Linked DNA regions of Oryzias latipes. The protein of the gene in region 2 purifies or fractionates together with the protein of the main gene of each other region. This does not show direct contact. Links are inferred from orthologs where the notes say so. Each region holds a gene or a part of one and is shown on either strand. Other genes may lie near its edges.

Region 1 (7,388 bases), on a different chromosome or scaffold from region 2:
ATGAATGATGCACTGAGCTAAAACAATGACTAAAGTACCTTTCCCATCTGTCTTAAACATGGATGCTGAATATGGAAAAACTTTCAAATGAATGTATTTATCTCCAGGTGTGAACATTCCTGCATGTCTGTCTGAGAAACAATTTTTAATTGATCTTTATAATTTGTGCTTCTTCTGATCTTCTTCGCTGTGTTGACGAAACACTTTCATTCCTCCTCCTCCTCCCCGTCTCCTCCTGGCCTCCATGGGAGATTCCCCTCACACCTCCTCCTTTCACACGTCTCCCCATGCTTCTCCTCTCTGTTTGCACCTTTCTTTTGGCGCCAAGTTGCGTGAACCCAGACAGGCCGTCGCCCCTGGATCTGCACTTAGTGATGTTCCTGCCCACTCTGCTCAACCAGTCCACCCCTGAGCAGATGGACCGTTTCTTCATGCCCGCCTGGAACCTAAAGATCATCGGCACCTACGCTCAGACAGAGATGGGCCACGGTAAAACCCGCAGTCCGAATCCCGTCTGCTCCCACACTCGCCATGTTAGGCAGTCATGAGTCGCTCTTTGGATGATCTCTAAGTGACGCATTCCATTTTTCTGCCACTATGTCAGCCCACCACAGTGTAAAAAGACATTTCTGAGAAACATTTTGAACTGTAGTTAGTTATTGCGGGACTCTTGACTTTAAAAATGTAAAGTTTTCTATTATAGCTACAGCTACATTGGTGGTACTAACCAATCAAAGCCTGGTGCCATTTTTCTCTACCTCCATCCATCAAGATGGACATGGAATTTAACTGATGTGTCGTTCTTTTAGATGTAAAACGTTTTTTTAATGAATTCTTTTTACAAATAAATCTAGATCTTTTTAACCCATAGTAGTCCAGGGCCTTTTTGCACTTCATTTCTACTTATATTACAATTTATCTTTTAAACCGTTTTTTTGTGGCAGTGCTTGCTATCCAATCTTTTTTAATACAACCCCAGCTTTTTTTTTTCTTTTTCTTTTTTTACAAATATATTTTTGATTTTCGTTACAGAAGGAAACAGTCAGAAAACTCAATTCCAGGTGGTAAATTGAGATCAAACAGTTTTTTATGTTTTTATAAGAAAAGATCAAACACGTAGAGACAAAATAAAGATTTATAATCCACATAATAAAGCAGACATGAAAAAATGGGGGAAAAAGGCAAAAAATAGCCGGAAGAAGCAACATTAAACTCCATACAAACCTCCATGGATTTATTCCATGATGTGTCATAACTCCCATGTTTGTTTATAACCAGGTATTTTATAGCTAAAATCTTAGTTAGTCATTTTGAATGAACACTTTGCTGATGGGAAGGTCGGTTTGATTCCCATTCAACAGCCGATGTGACTGGAAAACTCCCAGGTGAGTTCAGGGGTTAAAGTTGTAACAAACAGAAATCTATCGAAACCTAATTATACCGTAGTTTTCAAATGAGAAAATGTTCTGCAAGTCTTTAGGTTTTTTTGCCAATTTAACCTCATTTAGCATCTTTATTAAAGAATAGAGTGGCAGGAACCATCAAAGAAACCTGAAGTTTGTGTTTTTCCATGGTTTAACGTCAAAAAGCTTAAAAGACTTATGAACATGAGATTTTTCTGTCACCGCTTTTAGCCAAACCTGGAACAGTTTCCAGCTTTAGAAATTAGAAATTAGCCCACATCAGACCCCCCCCCCCCCCCCCCCCCCCCCTTTAGAAAGACTAACCTGCTGCTCTGTCGTCAGTCCCACTGAGTAACCGTGTTTTCCATTTTCTTAAGCCGGTTTGGGATGCTGATGCATGCTGGGAATGCACGTTCTTGTCCTGTTGAAGGTCGCTTTACATCTGTCAAACAGCTATAAGATTTACTGCAACTGAACTCACCTTTATATGTAAAGTAAAATAAGATTTTAGACTCAGGGGCTCCACATGTTTGTTTGTTTTTTCTATTGATATAACTCTTTCTGGCATTTTAAAACTGCATATTTATATACTACGTACATTTTGCGCTTTTTCCACGTATGAAATGTTGGTCTTTTCTGATTCATGCATGATCTACGTAATTCGGAAGTGTTTTCTTGCGTCATTCATCGATGTCCGCAGACGTCCGTCGAGGGTCTTAGCCGACGTGAATTCAAAATTTTGGGTCGGTTGAGAATTATGCTGTCTACGCATATTTCTGTGCTATTTATACTTATTATTACGTAAATCTTACGCAATTGTGCGTAATTTATTTATTTATTTTTTTCCATGTATGGTTTATTCATCACTTATTTACTTCTTCCTTGGTTTAACGTTATTCATTTGTCATAAATTTTCACGTAAAACCACAACTTTTTAACTTTTTCCAAACAAATTCACGTATGACCAATAAGCGCATAATGTACGTAGTGGCTGTGTGACACGACTTATGGAAGTTGTAGTCATGTGTCACGCCGTGTGCTGTGCACACACGTCTGGCCCATCTTTCATGTGTGGTGTGAATCCAGGAACGCATCTGAGAGGGTTGGAGACCACGGCCACCTACGACCCGGCCACTCAGGAGTTTGTCCTGAACAGTCCCACCGTCAGCTCCATCAAGTGGTGGCCTGGAGGACGTAAGTGTCTCCAGTCTCGTTCAGAGGTTCTTCTGTGTTTTTTATCGTCTGAAACCGACCGCAGCAGGCGGATGCTGCGACTGAATGTGGTTCTGCTGAAGGTTTCCTCCTGTTCCTGCAACTTTTCCTAAAAGGACACTCAGCACACCAGAAAACACCAAAAATACTTGACCTTAGGTTATACTAATATTCAAAAGATGGACTATTTATTAAAAAAAGAAAGCATTTAAATTCGGGACGAGGATGTGCTTTATAACTGAACTGAATTCAATCTTTTTTTTTCAAACAGAAACTGTAACTGTCCCTCCTTTTTCGTTTTAGTTGGAAAGTCTGCGAACTATGCTATAGTTTTAGCTCAGCTTTACAGCCTTGGGAATTGCCACGGTCTGCACGCCTTCATCGTACCTGTCCGGGACATGGACACACACATCCCGCTGCCAGGTAACCTGCTGCCATCTGTACGTTCTGCGCGTCTGTCGCATGTTTTCCTGAGCCCAAAGGTTTGTCTTTGCTGCAGGCGTCGTAGTTGGCGACATCGGACCGAAGTTCGGCTTCAATGAAGTCGACAACGGTTTCCTGAAACTGGAGAACGTGAGGATTCCACGGGAGAACATGCTGATGAAATACTCAAAGGTGAAGTTTCGAAGGACTGCGTTTGAACCAGTAGATGTTCAGAGCTTTGCTTAGACCAGGGGTGAGCAAACTACGGCCCACCATATGCAGCCGAGTAAACTGTTTAATCTGGCCCACCAAGCTGGAATAAATGATATTGATTATCCTTTATAATGGTTTATTTTCCCTGTAATGTGGTGTGTCCTCATAGATGGGCACTACAAATAAATTGACCTTTAAGTAAAGAAAGTTATTCTGCTTTCATATAATGTCAGAAGAATTGTTTTTCTGACGTCCATGCGTGTTTTCTAAATCATTTTTGTAATTATTCCTTTACCACATAAGCACAGCATTTCTCTAGATTAACATTTTTCCCCTGACAGACATCAACCAATTGGTGCAATTGGCCCTGAAATATGAACAAAGGCCACAGTTTTGAAATTAAAACTCAAGTGTTCTGTTTTTAAAGATATATGTCCATTTTCATTTAAAATTAAAGCAGAATCTTTCAAATTCCATGTTATTTCTTCAAAAAAAAATAAAAGTCCCGCTGTCTGTCACAAAATTTGTTCTCCGCACTTGACCCATTCAGGGAACCATTTGGTGGTTCAACCCAATCCAGCCCCTTAATGCTGAGTGTCCCATTTTTAAAGTCTTTGGTATGACCTGGCCCGGGTTTGAACTCATGACCTTCCAGTCTCAGGGCGGACACTCTAACCACAAGGCCCCTGAGCTGGCCACTTTCAAAGCCACTCTCTCTTATCAGGTGGATTAGCAAAACATGCCATGCTCCTGGTCTGGCCCTTCTGTCAAATTTTAGAATCCTTTGTGGCTTTGGATGGGCTGTTTGCCCACCCCTGCAACTGCAGCTTATTTTGTGTTGCCTGTCTGTGACGCTCCCAAAAGTAGCAGCCCTTTAGTTTATTATGCAGATACCATCTTTAAAACAAGAAAACAGTATTTTTCTGAAACAAAGAGGCGCACATGGAGGAGCAAACTTTAACATCCAACTTTCTGAAATGACTGAAAACCTTCTTTTTTTTTTTCAATTTAGCCTCAACTGTTCAATTCAATTCAGTGTTATTTCTATAGCCCAATATTTACAACAATAGTCGTCTCAATGGGCTTCATACCGGTAATTGTGTAATAAACATGAATCATAAAGAACATAAAATCATAGATTTCAATAGGTGACTAAACAGACTAAACTAAACCTTTAGGCCATCCTTCGCTGTAAGGAAAAACTCTTAAAAAACCCGGATTCCAGAAAAAAAACCCAGAAGAAACCTCAGGGTTGCCCAAACTGTTGGACTGCTGGTTTCACTGCAAGACGCTCTGGTTCTGCTAAACTCCACAAACTGATGGGAAGAGCTATCACCGATACGCTGCCTGCTTTTTGGAGAAAAATGATTTGTTTATGCAAATCTACCGTCAATCCATCACTTTATTTGTAGACCACCTGTAGAACACAAGGTGCCCCAAATAAAAGACGTACACAGAGGTTAACTAACTGACTTCTTAGGTTCTTCTGTTATCAGACACGGTTGTGTCGTTCGCATACCTGACATGTTTTGACGGACGTCTTCGTCGAAATGAGGGGCACCTGCCTGCTTTCTGACACCTGGAGTAACATCCTCCAGCAGCAAACTTTGACAGGTGACTCCGCCCCAGTCACAATCGTCTGTTTTTATCAGTACCGTCTGATGACGACTCTGACGAACACGTCCGTCCAAACATGGAAGGGGTGTGAAAAACACCGCCGTGTCCGATAACAGAGGAACCAAAAAAGTCAGTCATCAATATAGACACTATGAACTTTATTGAGGTTAAATAAATAAAAAGTTTGAAAACACAGTAGAATAAAAACAGCAACAATCAAAAGATAAAATGTAGGAAATGCGGTGGCTAATAGTTTGAGACATTTTACAAAAAAAGAGGCAGCCTTTGTCGTTCTTCCTCACTTTTACTCTGTGTGATTATGAACAGAATTCCTTTTCCCTGTTTTCCTGTGGATAACATGTTCTGATCGTCAGGTGAACTGACTTTAGCAGATGTCTTTGGTGTGTGCTACATGTAAATAATATTTATTTGTGTAAAGTTAATAAGTAGTTCAGAGACTGCCGGCGTAAAAATTCCCTCCCTGCTTACCTACCTGAAGTTTAAAGGATTGAAAAGATTAAAATGTATGTTTTTGTTCCTTTTTTTAACTGAGATTAAAACTAAGATTTCTTTTTCCATGTTACAATAAAACATGTTTCAAGGTTGATTAAAGAATTAGATTCAATTTCATGAGTCTGAAGCATTTAAGGTGATTCTGTTTTATGTCCACTAGGTGGAGCCAGACGGCACCTATGTGAAGCCTCCCAGTGACAAGCTGACCTACGGCACCATGGTGTTTGTCCGCTCCATGATCGTTAGGGAATCGTCCAAAGCCCTGGCCAAGTCCTGCACCATCGCCATCCGTTACAGCGCCGTCCGCCACCAGTCGGAAATCCGCCGGGGGTGAGTCACGCATTACAGCGCCGAACAGTCGACCTATATGTAGACGGACCTGAAATCGGAGGGAGGCTTCTGCTATCAGGTTCAGTAACAGCGTGGGAATTTGACTCGTGGGTTGTGATGCTCCATAATAAAATAGTTCAGGCTTTTATTTTGAAATGAGATGGAGAAGACGCTCAAATAAAACAAAAAATATGTTCTTGGACATGATTTTTTTGGGTTATGTAGGAATTTACATCAACTTTACAAGGAATATAAAAAAATCATTCAAATTAAACAGGTTATGGCCACCAAAAGATCAATTACATTTCAGTTAACAGGTTTAAGGTGGATTTTGATTATCATTTCCCAAACATGTTTTCTGTTTGTTTGCTTCTGCCAAAAGAAAAAGTTTTCATTTATGGTGGAACTTTAAAAAAAAGAATATTACTTTATTATTACTTCCAACACGTTTTTTCTTTTTTCCAGAGAGCCAGAGCCTCAGATTCTGGACTACCAGACGCAGCAGTACAAGCTGTTCCCTCTGCTGGCCATGTCCTACGCCTTCTCCTTCGTCGGACAGTACATGACAAACACCTACCAGCGCATCAACGCAGAGATCAACCGGGGGAATTTTACTGAGCTGCCAGAGGTACAAAGCAGAAATTACATTTACAGTTAAATCAATGGATTGATTTCATGATTTATTACAACAAAACTGTCGGTTTAGACTTGAAATCTTAAAAGACAACATTTTATTAAATTTCCAACTTTTTTTAGACTGAATATCTATATGCATGTATTTCTTTTATGTACCGGTAACTGTATTAGTCACATAGCCGAGCAAAGAGGATTACAGTCACTACAAAAAAAAAGATATGTTAGATAGGAAATTCTGATTTCTTTTATTTATTTAAAGATTTAGTTTTTTTCTTTTTAGGATCCCGGTGTTGCTTCTGAACCTGATCCTCAAGTTCCGACATCAATTCCAGAATCCAAACTATCCAAACTACTCTCAGAATTTAAAAAGCTCCACTTTGATCTCAGAATCCCATTTTTAAATCTAAAATTGATCCACTAATCCAGACAATAATTCTGGAATCCTGACATTGATCTCAGATTCTCAAATTGGGTCTTAAAATCCAGACTTTGATTTAAAAAAACAAAACAAAAAAAAAACAGTTTGAAAGTTTGACTTGATCTAAGAGACTTGAGTTCTATCTCAGAATCTCAACTGTGACTCTGAATCTGATCCACAAATCCCAACCTTGATCTCAGAGTCTCAACTTTATCCTTAAAGCTCAGCTTTAATCTTAAAAGCTTTTTTACTTGAATTTCTAACTTTTCAAAATTAAGAGAATAAATGATCTGAAAGGAAAGTCAGAATTCTTTTTAAATAGATGAGTGTGAACTTATCATAGAATCTTTTGAAAAGGCCTTTTGACTTCAGCCATCGTTAACATCGCAAAATGCAGAAACTTCCTTATAATTTTTATTTTTACATTGATGTTAGCTGGTCAGAAATAATAGTAAATGCAGTTTTTGACCAATGAACTGTGAAGTCACATCCATTTTGGTATAGTAAATACAGTTTAAGGCTTTTGAAAAACGTATATATTTTTTTTCCCCTCCACCCTACAGCTGCATGCGCTGTCTGCGGGTCTGAAGGCCTTCACCACGTGGGAAACCAACTCTGCCATT
Region 2 (8,148 bases):
AAATATACCACAAGATTGTAATAGAAGCAGAGCAACTGTTCTGTTATTTTCTCTTTATGTAGGTTGGAGATAATACTCAGGTTTGCTGAAGGCTGTGCTTTCAATAGACGTCAGTAGAAGCCAAGGCCGATATTCTATACATTAGCTTTAGAATTCAGACGGCCCTATATGTATGCATGGACAGCTCTGGGTACAATTAGCCTCAATGCATAAAGTTAGAAGAGGATAAAAGTAAATGGGTGGACATAAAACGACACATTCGCTTAAGAAAGCGTTCAAGGTTTAAATCTGCATTCAGATCTGTTATCGTTTGTCTCCCTTGGAGCTTTTCCTCTTTTGTTCCTGTAGGGGTGTCAGGCTGCCACTGCGCACTCACTGATGCTTGCCTGAAGGACTTTTTCCTGCAAACACTTTATTATCCACACGCTTTGCATGGCCCACCTCTCACCATTCACTTTCCTTGTCTCCAAGGTCTCCGAGCCACAGTTTCTCCTCAGACTGCTCTAGATACTCCTCTGCCCAGCGTCCAGGGTCTGGAGAGGAATACATTAAACAGAATAAATTAAAGTCCCCCTATGACAATTAAAAAAATGTTGTGTTTTGATTATAATTCTGAAGTTTTGAATCAAAATCCCACAACCTAAATGTTGTAAAAAGGCATATTTCATGTTTATCTGAAGCCTCCGTTTCCAAAATCTCCTCTACATGGGTGTGGCTGTTGGTGCTGAGCTGAGTAGCCCCACCTTTGATCAAGGGGCCAAACGCGGTTCGGCCACTTTGATTTTTTTCATACATGTGGTCAAAAACAAAATCCAGCCTTGGATGCACTTAAAATATGTGCAGGCAATGCAGCAATGCACCATCTTCTCTTCTCACGCACCTGAGCTTGTGCACGCCTGGCGGGGCAGATCAGGGAGCTTCTGCAATGCGCTTGCACTACTAGGCCATTGTGACATCACAACGCCTCATTCATATAAACAGCGCGTCTTTGCGTCAGTTTAATTGCCACTGATTTAAAAGGAGAAATACTCAGAAATGAAAAAAAGAAATTATTTTTTATTACATTTGTTCTCTTTCATAAGAAAAATGTCAGATATACATAAAAAAACAACAACATGATTTTTAATGGAGGGGGACTTTAAAGACATTTGTAATGTACATATTGTAGCTTATAAACATTAAAATGTGATAACAGTTAGATCCGCTAAATCAGTGAGACAACTGCAGTAAATCATAGACCGGAAGAAACTCCAGTTACCTGCAGCCTCAGCAATAAATTCTCTGGTCCAATCAGAATCTGCTGAATCACCAAGAGAGGTGAGACCCGGTGTGGTGGCAGAATCCGAACTGGAGAGGAACTCGGCAGCCCAATCACCAGAGAGGGCCAGTGCGGCCACATCAGGAGCTAAAACAAGAAGTGAGGATATCATTTTCTGAAATGTGCTGAGATCACATGGCAGAGAGAAAAATTGTATAAAATGTATGAATAAATTGGAAGAATGATGTGCACCTCTCTGTGGAGCTTGTCTGTAGCTTTGCTGATCGATCTGCTGCATTTCCTCTAATAGCTGACCCATGTCAAATGTGGTGGGGGGGCGTGGCGGGGCCTGAAGGAACTCATTCACCAACTGGAGCAAAAACCAAAAAAAAAAAGAAAAAACATTTCACAGCTGTAAGTATTTGAAAGATAGCTTTCATGCATAAAATATAACAATTCTAAAAACTTGAGGTGAATATTTCAAATATTTAAAAGGATATTTTAGTATAAAGGGACAGAAAACTAAACAGACCTCTTGTTCGGTTGCAATTTCAATAGGAGTTGGTGGAATCTGAGAAAAAGCGGTAAAGAAAACAGAACCGGTTCATTAAATGCATTTTATTCTGCTGTAATGGAATAAAAAAAACAGCTAATGTTACATTAGTTAGTAATGCCCAACATTACTCACTGCAGGGCTGGTGCGGTGCTGCCATGTCCCCTCTTCTTTGGTCATGTGACTGGCCAACTTCATGAGGGGATTGGCTCCACCACATTCGGCCTCCACCAATTCTCGCATCGCCATGGCAACGGAAGGAAGAGGCAAACCCCACTAGAGTACGTAAAAGCTAAAAAAAATAAATAAATAAGGATTGCGAAATACATGCATTTCTGTTTCACAACAAAAAATGAAAGCAACAGATTAAATAGATTTATGAACAAAGGACTGTTGTGCAAATGACAATAAAATGAATTAAAAATGACTGATTACTTTAACTTAGACTTTGACCAAAAAATGAAAAGGACTGGAAACAACTTTTATTGGCAAACTGAAACTCTAAATACTGCCAAAAACTTACCAAGACACTTTTTCACAAATATATTTATTTATGATTAAGATTAAGAATTAAATTATTTATTAGTGTCCGTGAACGTAATCATATTTGAATGAATAACTATCCTATGTTTGAAATATCTTTGTATAGATTTACATTTCTGTTGTTCGTCTTGTTTTTGCATTCTTTTTGCTCTGATTGCTTGAAATAAACCATTTCCAAATCCAAATCCAAATATTTAGAGCTATGACATATTGTATCCCAAACTATTCGTATCTGAAATCTGAACAAAAAAAATCAAATGTGTATTTTGTCACCAAACATAGTAAGATATCTGAGAGGAAATGCAGCATTATTAATATTCTTTAAAATCTGAGCTTCAAAGTATTATCTTGAATCACTTCCTGGTTTCTGTCAAGTGTTTTATTATAAATTAAACCTGCCAGTTGCTGCCATCTTACGAATACAATCACAAACATGCAATATTGCTCTTTCTTTTTACATTTTAGCTCCACATAAAAGGTCCAGAAAACGAATCATTTAACAGCTGACGAGCCAGATGAAGAGAAAGCCTGAGGGTTTAAACATTGCACAAAAAGCCCCATGCCTTGTCAACAAATTTAAAACTCCATCTGTCGCATTTTCATGCCAGTTAATGGCTTTTAGTGAACTGTTAATAATGAGGACACGGATTGTAAGCCTTGCAGCGCACGGGGATGTTTACCACACATTTACATAGTGAATCAAAATTGATTTGGGGCAATTTGTGCTTTCCCTGGGTTACAGTGTTCACAATGAAGAAAAGCTTTTATTCTGTATGGATGAGTGCATTCAGACTGCTGTGAGGTCTTAAAGCCTCAGGTCTGAAGGTCTGAGCTGTGTGGGGACAGACTCGTGTAAAAATGTTACAATCGCCTCTAGAATAGATAGATCAGTCACGATGTAAACATACACACAAGGATCTAATTATGAAAATAATAACAGTAAAAAATAAAAAACAAGGAATACAAGCTTGCATCAACTAAATAAAATAAAAAACAACTAATCACGTAAAGTATACATACATACATAAGAGAATTGCAATCTTTTTTTCTGTCCAACTGTCATCTCCCCAAAATAAATCTCATCGTTTTTAGTGTTGGCATAAGCATCCTAGTGAGTCACACCTCTGACCGCTGCATAATGATTAGGATCGAAGTAGTAAGAGGATTAACAAAGATATTAATAAAATATTGTCACAGACAACACATGCTGCCTTAGTTAGACACACGTCTACGTCACACTTCAGGTATTTGGAAGAGCAACGTAAATGTTTTAATCAAGGCAATCTTAATGTATCTTTTAAATGTGCACACATAGTTGGGAGTAACTACAAATATTGGCATCAGAGTGTACAGAGGTTCTGCACTAACCTAAGCTAACTGTAGCCTCAGTCCCAAACGGTAAAATTAGCTACATGTGTCAGGATGTGTTTCGTCTTTGTGTAGTCAACCTCAACCCATTAAAAACCCCAATATTAGACAGAAAGAAAACATATTAATACCTAAAGAGTTCGACTCTAACATAAGCATGGCTAGAGTTAGCTAACGAGCAGGTTACATGGTACAAAGATCATTCTTGTACGGCACAGTGAGTCCGAATTGAATAAGCATGGTGGTTGTTGTTGTTCATCTCACCGCCGACAGCTACTGCTGCTGCTGCCGCAGTCGCTCCTCTGTGGCCCGGGTGTCCTCTCTAGCTTCTGCTCCGAGGGCCGTGTCTGAATCTAGCACCGTTCGAACCGCAGCCGCTTTATGCTCCTAATGTTTATCTTCCACCTCCATGACCCACAGAACCATCCACAGACTCCTTTGAGATCTGCCGTACGTTACGTTACGTAGGTTACGTATATTCTTTAACGACGTTACGTAGGAAGAGAGAGAGAGAGAGAGAAGCTATGTTACATTGATTAAAATAAAATAGAATAAATTATACAATGGCCACTGATAATTGTTTAATTAAATTTCACATGCCAAGGTTATTTTCATTTAACCAAATTTTCTAATTTTCTCATGCCAATAGTAAACAGTAAAATACATCTTGTGTTTGGCTCACTTGAAGTTTTGCAGACATCATTTGTGTACCCAAATGATTTTTTTAAAACTTTTATTTCTAATCAGAAGAGGTTATTCTCTGCCAACATTGGTAGGTACACCATTAGCTGTTATTGTTATTAATTATAATATTACCATTCTTAGAAGCCAGTGAATCTTACCAGACTGATACTCTTTAGTCCTCCCACAAAAATAAAAACATTGCAATGTGATATACATTAACTTAAGCAGAACAAACTGTTCTGTTATTTTCTGCTCCTGTAGGCTGGAGAATTCAGTCATGTTTGCTGAAGGCTGTGTTTTATATAATTAGATATCAGTAGAAGCCAAGGCCATTTTTCCATACACTAGTTCTCCTTTAAAATTGTTTAGCCTTATATGAATGCATGGATTGAAATCATAGAAAACCTCATTAAATTAAATCAAACTATGTTTAAAAATACTTTAAATGTTCACAGTCAATATAAAAGTAAAACTGCTACCTTTTAGAAAACAGAGATATCAATTCAAAATGCATACGACTCATCTACAATCTAATAGGTAAAACATGGGGCTGCATATCAGAAAAACTTGCAATATCCAGTATTAGTGATCAATATTGTGATGACGATATTACTTGCGGTACATGAACAAATAGCAAAACAACCAAAAACATCTATCCCATTTCACTGGAACAGTTTAAAAATTATACTCCAAATGACCCTCGTCTACATAGGAGGCGAACATCTAACATAAAAGGGCTCCATCCGATTGGACCACAACATGAAGACGTCCATCCGGTTGGTCAAATCCATAAAGAGATTTATTTGATTCATTAAATACTTCACGCTGGCATAAGATAAGGTAACCATTTATTGCAATTTTCGCGGACTTTTGCAATATGCATATTGCACAGCTTGATCTTGCAATAACAATAAATTTGCGATTCATTGTGCAGGCCTAGTAAAAGACTGTAATATAATATATAATAAGACATACTGTCTGCTGCTTTAGGTGATGTAACCTTTGTGCTATCCTAGGCACTTTAACATTGGGTGTTGGGTCATCTAGACCCACTAGAGAGTGCGCTGAACCTTTTTTCTTCAATGATTTGTGAACCTCACTGGTGTCCATGAATTACATGAAATCTTTCCACCTTTATCATGGTAGGGAGAACATGTCAATGTAAGGGTGGGGTCATCTAAGATAGCACAAGGGTTAAAGTGAAAGTGATTGTGTTAGTGTGTTAACAGGAAAATAAGTTTAATATGGATACTGGGATTTTGTTGGGTGGCAGTTTCAGTGAATGCACACACTAGCAAGGAAACTTTTCTCATGGAGACGTCATATAGTGGCTTTTATTATGAATTTTGTAATGTTTTCTGACACTTCTCAGTAACAATTAGTCAGCTTAATCCACATTGTCAGTGTATCGATAATCACAGGTAAATCTCCAAACCGTAACATAGTATTAATATAAGTTATTTATTAATGCAATGTTTATTGGCTCTTTAACATCACACTCAAAAACAAGAGGCTTTATTTACTGACAACCTTAGCACTGCACATTGATAGGATACACAGACAGCAAGAGACACAGAGGGAGAGTGATGGAGAGGTGAAGGGAAAAGGCGAGTGGAGCGTGATGGGAAGGTAAAAATGACAAGCACACAGTTGTACATTTATTAAACCAAAATTACTAGAAGTAATGAAAACAACATAAAATATGGTCAACAAATAAAACAAAAAAATGGGGGAAAAAACCCTTGAAATGAGTGAAAGTCTTACAACAATGTGCTCTCCTTTTTTGTGACTCAGATATTGACAGGTTCATAAATTACAACATTATTACACACAAATTAGGAGACACTCATCAAGCCATGGGAATATCATCCTTATCACTACTACTATTTATCATTATTATATTACTTCTTTGAGTTGAAAAGTGATTCCTCATGTGGAAAAATGTTAAATTATAATCTGCTCCCTCTCAAAAATGTGCAGTAAAAGAGTGGATGCAAAATATAATAGTAATATCAATAACATCATAGTAGTCTTCATTGTATATACAGAAAGTTCATTACAATCAATACAATCAAAACTGCCCAAGCTGAGCGGACATTCTGAAAACAGCGAGGGGTAATGTTATGGAGTGTGTGTTTCCATGTAGAGCAGTGTTGTGGAGAGAGTCTATCTGCATGATAGCTGCTGCAGTTTTAACTCAATTCATTGTAGAAAATGCAACTTTGTAAATGCTCAGAATTGAACAAAGAAGTTTCATTTTGTATTCTATGAGTGTTGAAAAAGTGCCAGCTTGAGTGAGGGTTGTGCAAGAAAGCGTTTCAGTATTGTCAGGAGACTCAGATACAACGTAGCTTGAATCTGAAGAAGTAAACTAATCTCACAATAGAGGGAAGAACACCTACAGGTACGCCAGATTTAAGGTTTTTGTGGCTGTTACTTCTGAACTTGATGTCTTCACTCTTTGAGGGTAAAGGAATGTGTCGGAGGAGGTCGCAAAGAAAAATACGAGCTTGTGCACAGACTTCCCAATGCAGTTTTACAAAAAGTTCAGAGAGACGCATGTGTCGTCATCCACAACTCAATGCCTTCCTGTTGCAAATTGTTCTAGCTTATATTTGGAAAAAGTTTCATTGGTTTTTAATAACAAATATTAGACTAGATGTTTTATTTCAGTCCTTTTCAACCAAAATGACACTATACAGACACACGAGCATCTTGTGATTCAGAATTGGTGCATCACAAACAAGTTTGGTGGGGTTTCATCAAGCTCTTCATTTACATTAGTTGTTTACATTGTGCCGTTGAACATTTAGGTGGACAACAACAGCTTGTTGTTGGCTACAGGTCACATATGGCAATGAGTGTGGGGTGTATTACAGTGACTGTGTTGTGCGTAGTGTTTGTAAGCATACATTCCTTTGATCACGGGTGTCAGCAGTTGTTGACACTAAAAGTGTTGAAGTGTGTGACTGGTGAGCTGATTTGTGGTTTCCATGAGAACTGGCGCAGAGATGCACGTGGCTCAGTAGCGACGGGCGCTGCCGTCTCTACCCTCCTTCTTGATGATGATTCGCTGATCATCGCTGGCGTCGTCAGGCGTCTCCACTGCCTCTTCATCCTCCTCCCCCTCACCCTCCGTGTCGGCAGAGATGCCCATACGAGATTCATAAGACTATGAGAACACAAGAAAGTGTAGTTAAAAAAACATCGAAAAAACATTTTACTCTGATCACATCTGCGTAAAAGTACTGTTATAACCTCCATTGGGTTGACAATGATGGTCAGGGCAGAGTCGTCCCATTGACCGCTGCCCTCTTTGGCTCCGCCTCTTGTACTTTCACCTCGGCGATGAATGGAACGGATTCGGAAGACACCCAGGATCACCATGACAACCAGAAAACCCACACACACCATAATGATGACAGTGGCTGCTCCTGGTACCACTATAATAGTGCACAAAAAAATTTAATTTAAAATATATGTATACAAAATGGACAAAACATAAAGGAAAACACAGTTTAACCATAATTAAAAGCTGGTTTAGGTCAGCTAAAACAACAGTTCCTGCCAAAAACATTTAATTGAAGACTCCTTACATTAATTTTACGATCACAGCATTATTTTATCTTCAATTGTCTACAAAATATATTTGTTGTTAGTAAAAAGAATCTGTTCACTAAAAAGTATATGTGGACAACAGTGAAGTATAAATTTAAAAAAAATAAACAAGTATACAATTCAT
Region 3 (8,116 bases), on a different chromosome or scaffold from region 2:
GCAAAGTCTATATAAATGCACTTAAATGGGTGTTTCAAGCTTCCATGTTCAAAACTCTTCTGTTCATGCATAGCTACACAAGTTCCTATGACTGTTTTCAGGCAAAACGCACCTCCATAGAACACCCACTGGAAGTTAAGCAGGTCGACTTTGACCAATGAGGGACTTGGATTTATTTAATATGTGACACCAAATCTTTTGTGTATTGGAGTAGAGCTGTGAAAGAAAAAGCCTTGAGTAAGATTCGCGAGATTTGCATTGCTTCAACATTTCGCACCCCACCTCTTCCAACTGTAGGTGACGGATGTGTGCTAGTAAACAGCAGAAAGATTAAAAAAAAGAAGAATCCCCTCCCTGCTTGTCCAGTGTGAACACCATGGGCTAAATGTGCTTTCAAGAACCAGCATTTAGTGTGCTCTTGATCTCACATATTGTATGCTTTAAACGGCTGTTGCATGCCCGGTGTGTCTGTAGCTCAAGAATGTTAATATTTATTTCAGGACTCGTTTTGTTTCCGTAGAAAACCGTCTCTGGTATATTACTTTTGCACTGTTCATTTCTCTTTTCTGCTCTGATCATCTTCCTTTCATCTGGTATTTTACATTTAGATAAATCTTCATTTCATTGACATTGACAGGCCTGCAATGGATCAATGTGCCAGTCAGGGAGGAAGAGAAGGAGAGATCCCGGATAGATTTTGGTGCTCTAGAAGTCTAGAAGCAATTATGCTACTATGCATTCAGCATGCAGTCCACTTTCTCTCCAAACTGTGACAGCCGTCATCAGACCTGTCACCAGAGGGAAGTCTGTTCCCGTCATACGGTGAGAAAGAAGTGGCCTAGGCACTGCAGGCAAGTGTGTTTATAGACATGATGAGATAAGATTAATGGACTAGGACTTTGTCTTTAAAAGATTCCTGAATGAAACAAACAAATCTTAGAATAAGAGGGTTCATGATGTGAGGTTAAAATGAATAAAAGATGACACAAGAAGACTTATGAGCACCTAACAGGCTGACGGTAATGAAACAATAGATTCAGCTGATAACAATAAAAGATTAATCTTCAGGAACTTCATGAATCTTGAGGAACTATTTGTGGCAGAAAACCGCCATTTACATTTTGTTTGAGTGAGTTTAGGATTAAGAAATGACTTGGATCTGCAAAAAATAACTTTGGAGCATCTCTTTTCATCCTTCTTTTAAATGTTGGTATTTTAATGAACCATAAGAAATATCCAGAGAATGCAGTAAAATGATAGTTTTCTTAAAATACTTTATTCAAGCAGCAAACATCGTAATACGTTGCTGAACAGGCAGCCGGAAAATACCATGACAGCAGAATGTGTTAGTGTAGCTTTTTAGGGAATTTTAAAATAAAGGGAAGAAGAAATTGGAAGTAAGAAGATGTTTTAACAACAGCGACAAACAAAAAAGGTGTATAAAAAATGAATATAATTACTGTTATAATTTTTAACATCAAGACTTTATGAAAACAGCTGCACATGTGATGATAACTGTTGTTTTTTATTGCTTATTATAGTCCAAGAAAATTTTAAATTTTAAATATTTATAAAAGTTGAAGTGATCACTTTGCTTTCAGTCGGTCACATTACAGAATGTTTTGTTTATTTTCTGTGATTTTTTTCCCCCACTAATTGACAAAAAATATCTGAATTTCTTCTTCTGAAATGCAACAAAGCACTGAATCTTTTTCTTAGGATGGACCAGTTAGGATAAAGTTTTAGCAAGATGCAGGTATGAATAGATACATTTGTATTAAAGGTGTGTTTTTAATCAATTTAGGCTTAAAACCAATGAGATAGTTGTTTCAAATACAATTGAATGGATTGGTCAATGATAAAATTCAACTTTAAAAGTCTCTACTGTTAATTTTTCACTTTATCTTTTCTTTTTTGTGTTGTTTTGGAATGCCGTTTCCTCTCCTGAATCTTTTCTCCGTGCTCTAATCCACTTTGTCTTGCATGTCGTCACAGTTCTCAAACTTTCTGGTCTTCCCTGTGTCAACCCTGCATTCAGGTTTCTCCCTATGTTGTGTTGCCTTCCAGGAATGGGGTGTCAGAGTTGATGGACGCTTGCTGGAGCCCAGTCAGACCTTCTGTTTTCTTCACTGTAAAAATGAACGGTGTGCTGGACATCTGGGACATCCTGTTCAATCAGAGCGACCCCACTTTGAGCGTCAAGGTTCTGATCTCACCTGTGAAGATGAGTTTAAGTCATCCTGTTGGTCCACTGAGTCAGGTGTGTGTTGTCATCTTCAGGTGTGTGACGGTGGACTGTACAGCATCCGTGTTGAGGAGAATGGACGCCTGGTGGCATGCGGATCTGAGAAGGGAGAGGCAACGCTGCTGGAGATTAGTTCTGGATTGTCGGTCCCGCAAAAAAATGAAAAAAGTCTGGTTGCTGCTGTAAGAAACCTGTCAGACAGATTTTTTAATGTCTACCTCTGGAGGAGTAATTTTTTTAAAAAGTGTTTTTTAAGTATCTCTAAATTCATATTTGAATGTATTATGTTGATATATTAGTCCAGGACAAATATGGTTCCTCAAAATAGAAAAACAGGCTTTCCATGTGCTCACATGTATACTGTTGCCGCCTGCAGATGTTTGAACGTGAGACGAAGCGAGAGAAAATCCTGATGGGCCGACAGAGAGAGATCCGTTTGAAGGAGAGGTGTCGGTCGGAGCAGAGCAGAGAAGAAGAGGTTGTGCGGGAGGATGGAGAGGAGAGCCCTCAAGAGCTCCTCGCTCGTGCTGAGAAAGATTTCTACAGCATGGTGGAGGTCGAGCTTAAAAGGAGGAGGAAAGGCAAAGATTTGATACAGGTGTGAAAAGGAAGGATATGTGGTCACAACACTCTGGTCACTAAATGATGTGGTTTTTTGATCCTGTGCTTTTTTTCTCTTCAGGAACAAGTTGTCTGTGAGGACAAACAAACATGATTACAAAGAAACTGCCGACGTTTCAAATAAACTTTAAAGCTGAATAAACTGACTTTTGTTTAGTTTAGGACACCCTTTTTTGAGTTAAAATTTGTTTAGAATTTCAGTACTGTGTTGTCTGATTGGTTGGCATCTATAAGGATTTTAAATATTTAAATTCTTTATTGTCTTAGAAAGTACGAAAGAGGATAGTTAAAAGAAAAAAGGGAGCAATGGGAAATTCTGACTTTAATCTAAGTCAGAATTCTGAGGTTCTGACTTTTATGGTTTTTACATTGATATTTTTTCTCTCATTTATATTTACAATATTGTGTAATAATGGTAAAAACAGCTAAAGAGAAAAAACTATTCCGTTTATGTGAAGGATATGATTAGTTTGAGATACTGTATCGCTAACACTCATGAGATTTTATTGTGTAAATTTTGCCATTTTCCTAAAAACACAAGATTTTCATTTTTTCGTACCAAAAATACTTTTAATATCAAACACATTAGTTAATTTGGGACAAGTCCTGTTTAATGTAAAAACCCTTTTTTTTTTCAAGCAAAAAAGTAATAGTTCGCTGTTAAGCAAGGTTTTATTTTTAACAACAAATCACAGCAAACCATAAAAAAGAAAGAAGAAATACAATGACTTTTTTTAAAATCATAAACATAAATGCAAAATTGTAAATTGAATTAATAAATAAATCCAACTTATAGGCCTATTTATTACTGTTGTGTTCTTCTCTGTTCACCTGTCTCTTGATTATTTTATTTTCTGCTTACCTACCCCCTGTTCCGGTCTTTATTTATTTGTTTTTATAAAACACTCAAATACAAAAAATTAATAGATCTCAAACAACAAAAACAGCACAACTCAAAAATAAGTTGAAATTTCGAATCCTCGAAAGTTACGCGCCTTGCGTGATGACGTCACACTCACGTCGACATAGCAAGGTTCATAAACAAACATGGCGGCGGTGAGCGTTTTCAAACCGGGTTTGTTCAACCAAAAAGTCGCCGTGGTGACAGGTGGAGGGACCGGCATCGGCAAAGCCATCTCTACGGAGCTGCTGGAGCTCGGTAAGCTTCGCTGGGCTCTAAATGCTCACGGGGTTTCTCCCCCTGCACGCGGACCGAAGCCCTGAACTTTGACACACACTGGTGAACAGCAAGGTGTTTTTATGTGGGCGGTGCTAACTTTGCCCACACTAGCTTAAATCCAGTGGTTTGTCATTAAAATTAGCGTCTGTCCTTTAACTCTCTGTGGGATTCTTGCCAACTAAACAGCAGGTGCCACCAATACAAAAGTAGGAGCATTACAGTTTGGAGAATATTATCCAATCACACATGAGGTTTTAAAAAAAAGAAAGTTGAAGTTCATTGATGCTGAAGTGCTGCTGACTTCAGGCTGCAGTGTGGTGATCTCTAGCAGAAATGCAGAGAGGCTGCAGAAAGTAGCCAAAGAGATGAGACAGAAGATCCCAGCCTCCAGTCCTGCCAGTGTGACTCCTGTGCCTTGTAACATCCGCAATGAGGAGGAGGCAAGTCCCCGTTCATTCTCTGGATCTGCTGTTTCAGAACAATTTATTTTTTCTCCTTGTTTATTGTTTGCATTGTTTTGTGCGTGTGGCAGGTGAATAATCTCGTCTCATCGGTGCTAAGACAGTATGGTCGTATTGACTACTTGGTGAACAATGGCGGGGGTCAGTTCAGCAGCCCAGTAGAGAACATGACCTCCAAAGGCTGGAAGGCTGTGATCGACACAAACCTGACAGGAACTTTCCACTGCTGCAAGGAAGGTAAGCTCTGCACACACAAGTCCGACAGTGTGTTTACAGCTCTCTGTAATCTATATTCTCCTATGACCAGTCTACACAGCATATATGAAGAAGCATGGGGGCGTCATAGTGAATATCATTGCCGACATGTGGAAGGGCTTCCCTGGCATGGCGTAAGAACCACTGGGAACACACGTTTTGTACACAATGCCCCTTTGAGCTGCGTCATGGTGTTCCCTCCTGCTGACAGACACACAGGCGCAGCAAGGGCGGCAGTGGACAACCTAACCAAAAGCCTGGCCATCGAGTGGGCATCTTCAGGAGTCCGAGTTAATGCTGTAGCACCTGTATGTACACGTCAGACAGATTCCTTTTCAGAGTTTTTGACCTGTATGATTTGATTTATTTAATTTATTTTTATTTTTATAGGGTACAATCTTTTCCAAAACTGCGATGGAGAACTACAAGGAACTCGGACCGCATCTTTTTAAGACGTCTGTGCCATTCTCCCCTGCAAAGAGACTGGGAGTGCCTGAGGAGGTGTGGGGCAAATCCATTACACCCTCCATTATTTTAAAAAAAAAATGTTTCCTGCACAATTTTGTTAACTTTGAATTTAAAACAAGATTACATAGAATATGTATTTTACATTAGATTGGAAAATATTTGATATTTTCAAAAAAGAAAAAACAGAAATAAAAGAAAAGGGTAAAAGAGAATTCCATTAGGAACAGACAGGAAGAAGATGACTGCTTTTTGTTGGCTCCTTCACTTCACAATAATCTAAATACAAAATAGTTAACTATAGCAGTCATATTTTTCTTTTACAGATTAATTAACATAGTTCTTCATCTTAAGAACACAGAGACGCCATCCAGGTTGTATCGTCGACCGTTGCTGACAATGGACTCAAAAACTGCGCCAAAGAATTGCCTCACCACTAAATAAGGCTCTCCCTTTGAATCTAGATGTGATCCTATAGATGAGGCTGAACCCTTTCGTAAGTTTCTGCCAATTAGTGTGACTCTGTTAGTGTGTTACCATAGCAACAGAAGTAATTAAAAGACTAAAAGTGTTCCTAATTGGCCTTCGCCGCATTCATTTGACTTCACAGTAAATAAAGGGAAGGGAAGCAACTCAACTTGCTTCAATAACTTTAACTTCTCTTTTTAAATCTTTTTTAGAGGCTGTTCCCCTGTGAGTAAAAAAAATATGCTGCGCATGCTTTGTGAATTTTAAGCCTGAAGAACACTCGTACAATTTTCTTTAAAATTTGACTTTGATTTTGTTTTTTGGTAATTTTGGCCAACTGGAATTGACAGCGGCCAAAAAAATTAACAATAAAAGAAATGAAAACAAATATTTTAAAAGTAGAGAAAAATTGACTCAGTTGTTTCTTCTGGGTTAAAATTGGTCAATCTCTTCAATATGTGTAGTCTTTAAATCACTAATAAGAAAATGCATTACTCCAACTATTTACTGCTAGTTTTGACTGAACACTTTTTTTTCTTCTTCAAACTAAGCTTAGCTGCAGTTTTTTTTAAAAATCATCCTGGTTGTCTCAACGCTCCTCTTGAGCAAAGCCCAGGTGATGCTTTTCCTTTTGCCTAAATTGTGTTTACCTGGATTAAAGGAAATGGAAACATTCACAACAATCATGATAAACCTCGCTATCTTTGTTTTTGTTGTCTTTTTGTTTCAGATCTCCTCAGTTGTGTGCTTTCTGCTCTCCCCTGCTGCCTCCTTCATCTCTGGAGCCACATTAAAGGTTGATGCAGGACAAAGTCTGTACCGAACCATGTGGGAGATACCTGGTATGTAAGACATCTATTTTCATTTAGCCATGGTTGTCACACATTGGTGTTAACTTTTTTTGTGTGTTTAGATCACCAGGCATGGCCTGAAGCTCCAGAGGGTGAAAACTTGGTTGCTTTAAAGGAGCTGCTGGAGCCGCAAAGCAAACTTTAATCGTCTTGTTTGACAAGTGGACTCCACAAAAGTCTCCACGGTTAACAACACAGATTCTGCTTTTAAAGTCCACAGTATAAAGTATAATCCTGGCTGTAATATAAAAAATGTAAATAATCCTAGTCAAATAAATCTTTTTTGAAAAACAATATATTTTGCTTTACCAGATAGGTTGTTTGGATTGATATAAGAGAAATGTTAATATTACACAAATAGAAAAAAATGACCTTTGGTAATACACCAGTGTTGTCTTTTTTCATCATAAGCACTTTGTGTTGAAGCTCATTAGAATAATGTTAAAAATACAGCATTGTTGCGCTTTGTTAGACACAATGCCTTTTTGTTTTTTTAATTTGATATTTTTTAATCACCTAAAAATGTACTAATTATGAACTATAGCACTTTGCTGAAATTGTAACATGTAAAATAGCTGTTTAATTGTAATAGAGGTGAGTACTGTTGATGTGATGATGTTACAGATCCAGTGAGTAAAAATATAATTATAGCCTTACTCAAGAATGTTGGATGGATGGATGCATGGATGGACGTAAAAACCTCAATGTCTTCATCAGATAGAAAACCCTTTAATAATAGGCTTTGCAGCAGCCCAAATTATGTAAATATTAAACTCCAGGGGGCGCGCAGAAAATTGAGCGTCTCCTTTTACAAGGATCTGACCCTAACACGACACCGTACTTTTGCTGCAAATCAGCTGGAATTGTCGCAGTGATACAGAGGTCACAACAAACCTCTCGGGTACGTGTTTGTTCATTAATGCCTAAATTCTACTCATTTGTGTACCGCTTTTATAACAGGTAACGATAAATAAGCTAAAATGAGATTATGAAAGAAGAAAAAACAAGTCATGGTTTGTATTTACGATTAGCTTGTTGAAAAACGATTAGCTAGTAAGTAACCTAACCTCCCAATGACTTCTTTCAATCACTTGACAAACATTGAGGTAAAAAGAACGAGTTTCATTACATGAAGCTTATATGTAACTTAATTAAACTTTATTGACGTATCTTACACCATACGCGCGCCTTTGATGACTAAACTGATAATCATATGAATAATAGTTTCGGGCTAATAACACTCGGCGGAAATCCGTAAGTAATTGTATTTACATTTTACAGCTTCTGTTAGCGTAGAAAGTAAATAAACATGTTACAGTGTTTATTTTCATTTTTAAATATCGCTAACAAACGTTAGAATTTAGCCTTTTTGTCTTTCACGCTGACTAAACAGCTTCAAAATGTATATAAAATATATAAAATTTCCAGCATAAATTAAATTTCCTGCCATTTAACAACCTGGATCGTAGATTAGTCATTAGTAGAAGTGTCAAAAGGATTTGAGTTTTGGATACATTTTAATGAGTATAAATACCGTCTGACTTCATTTTTAAAGCACAGAAAATTCGGC

The links.
Region 1: the proteins of pex5 (region 2) and acox1 purify together in Homo sapiens (affinity purification with mass spectrometry; 3 studies listed by BioGRID, with this or other methods). This does not show direct contact. The link is inferred for Oryzias latipes from reciprocal best matches to the Homo sapiens genes PEX5 and ACOX1.
Region 3: the proteins of pex5 (region 2) and pecr purify together in Homo sapiens (affinity purification with mass spectrometry; 3 studies listed by BioGRID, with this or other methods). This does not show direct contact. The link is inferred for Oryzias latipes from reciprocal best matches to the Homo sapiens genes PEX5 and PECR.

The regions. Positions count from the first base shown.
Region 1 is NC_019859.2:3,127,499-3,134,886, reverse strand, and holds part of acox1 (peroxisomal acyl-coenzyme A oxidase 1), read left to right. Parts: intron 1-328; coding exon 329-489; intron 490-2,489; coding exon 2,490-2,597; intron 2,598-2,918; coding exon 2,919-3,038; intron 3,039-3,114; coding exon 3,115-3,230; intron 3,231-5,541; coding exon 5,542-5,711; intron 5,712-6,176; coding exon 6,177-6,339; intron 6,340-7,328; coding exon 7,329-7,388. UniProt on the Homo sapiens protein: Involved in the initial and rate-limiting step of peroxisomal beta-oxidation of straight-chain saturated and unsaturated very-long-chain fatty acids.
Region 2 is NC_019874.2:20,498,635-20,506,782, reverse strand, and holds the start of pex5 (peroxisomal biogenesis factor 5), read right to left. Parts: upstream 4,183-8,148; 5' UTR 3,987-4,182; intron 2,104-3,986; 5' UTR 2,061-2,103; coding exon 1,947-2,060; intron 1,830-1,946; coding exon 1,791-1,829; intron 1,629-1,790; coding exon 1,511-1,628; intron 1,406-1,510; coding exon 1,259-1,405; intron 534-1,258; coding exon 449-533; intron 1-448. Other genes in the region: clstn3 (calsyntenin-3), read right to left, coding at 7,429-7,578, 7,665-7,849.
Region 3 is NC_019875.2:17,248,859-17,256,974, reverse strand, and holds pecr (peroxisomal trans-2-enoyl-CoA reductase), read left to right. Parts: upstream 1-3,885; 5' UTR 3,886-3,913; coding exon 3,914-4,025; intron 4,026-4,352; coding exon 4,353-4,486; intron 4,487-4,578; coding exon 4,579-4,744; intron 4,745-4,814; coding exon 4,815-4,896; intron 4,897-4,973; coding exon 4,974-5,070; intron 5,071-5,152; coding exon 5,153-5,263; intron 5,264-6,425; coding exon 6,426-6,537; intron 6,538-6,608; coding exon 6,609-6,691; 3' UTR 6,692-7,202; downstream 7,203-8,116. Other genes in the region: dnai2 (dynein intermediate chain 2, axonemal), read left to right, coding at 2,068-2,203, 2,281-2,427, 2,622-2,843, 2,928-2,960. UniProt on the Homo sapiens protein: Participates in chain elongation of fatty acids. Catalyzes the reduction of trans-2-enoyl-CoAs of varying chain lengths from 6:1 to 16:1, having maximum activity with 10:1 CoA. Has no 2,4-dienoyl-CoA reductase activity.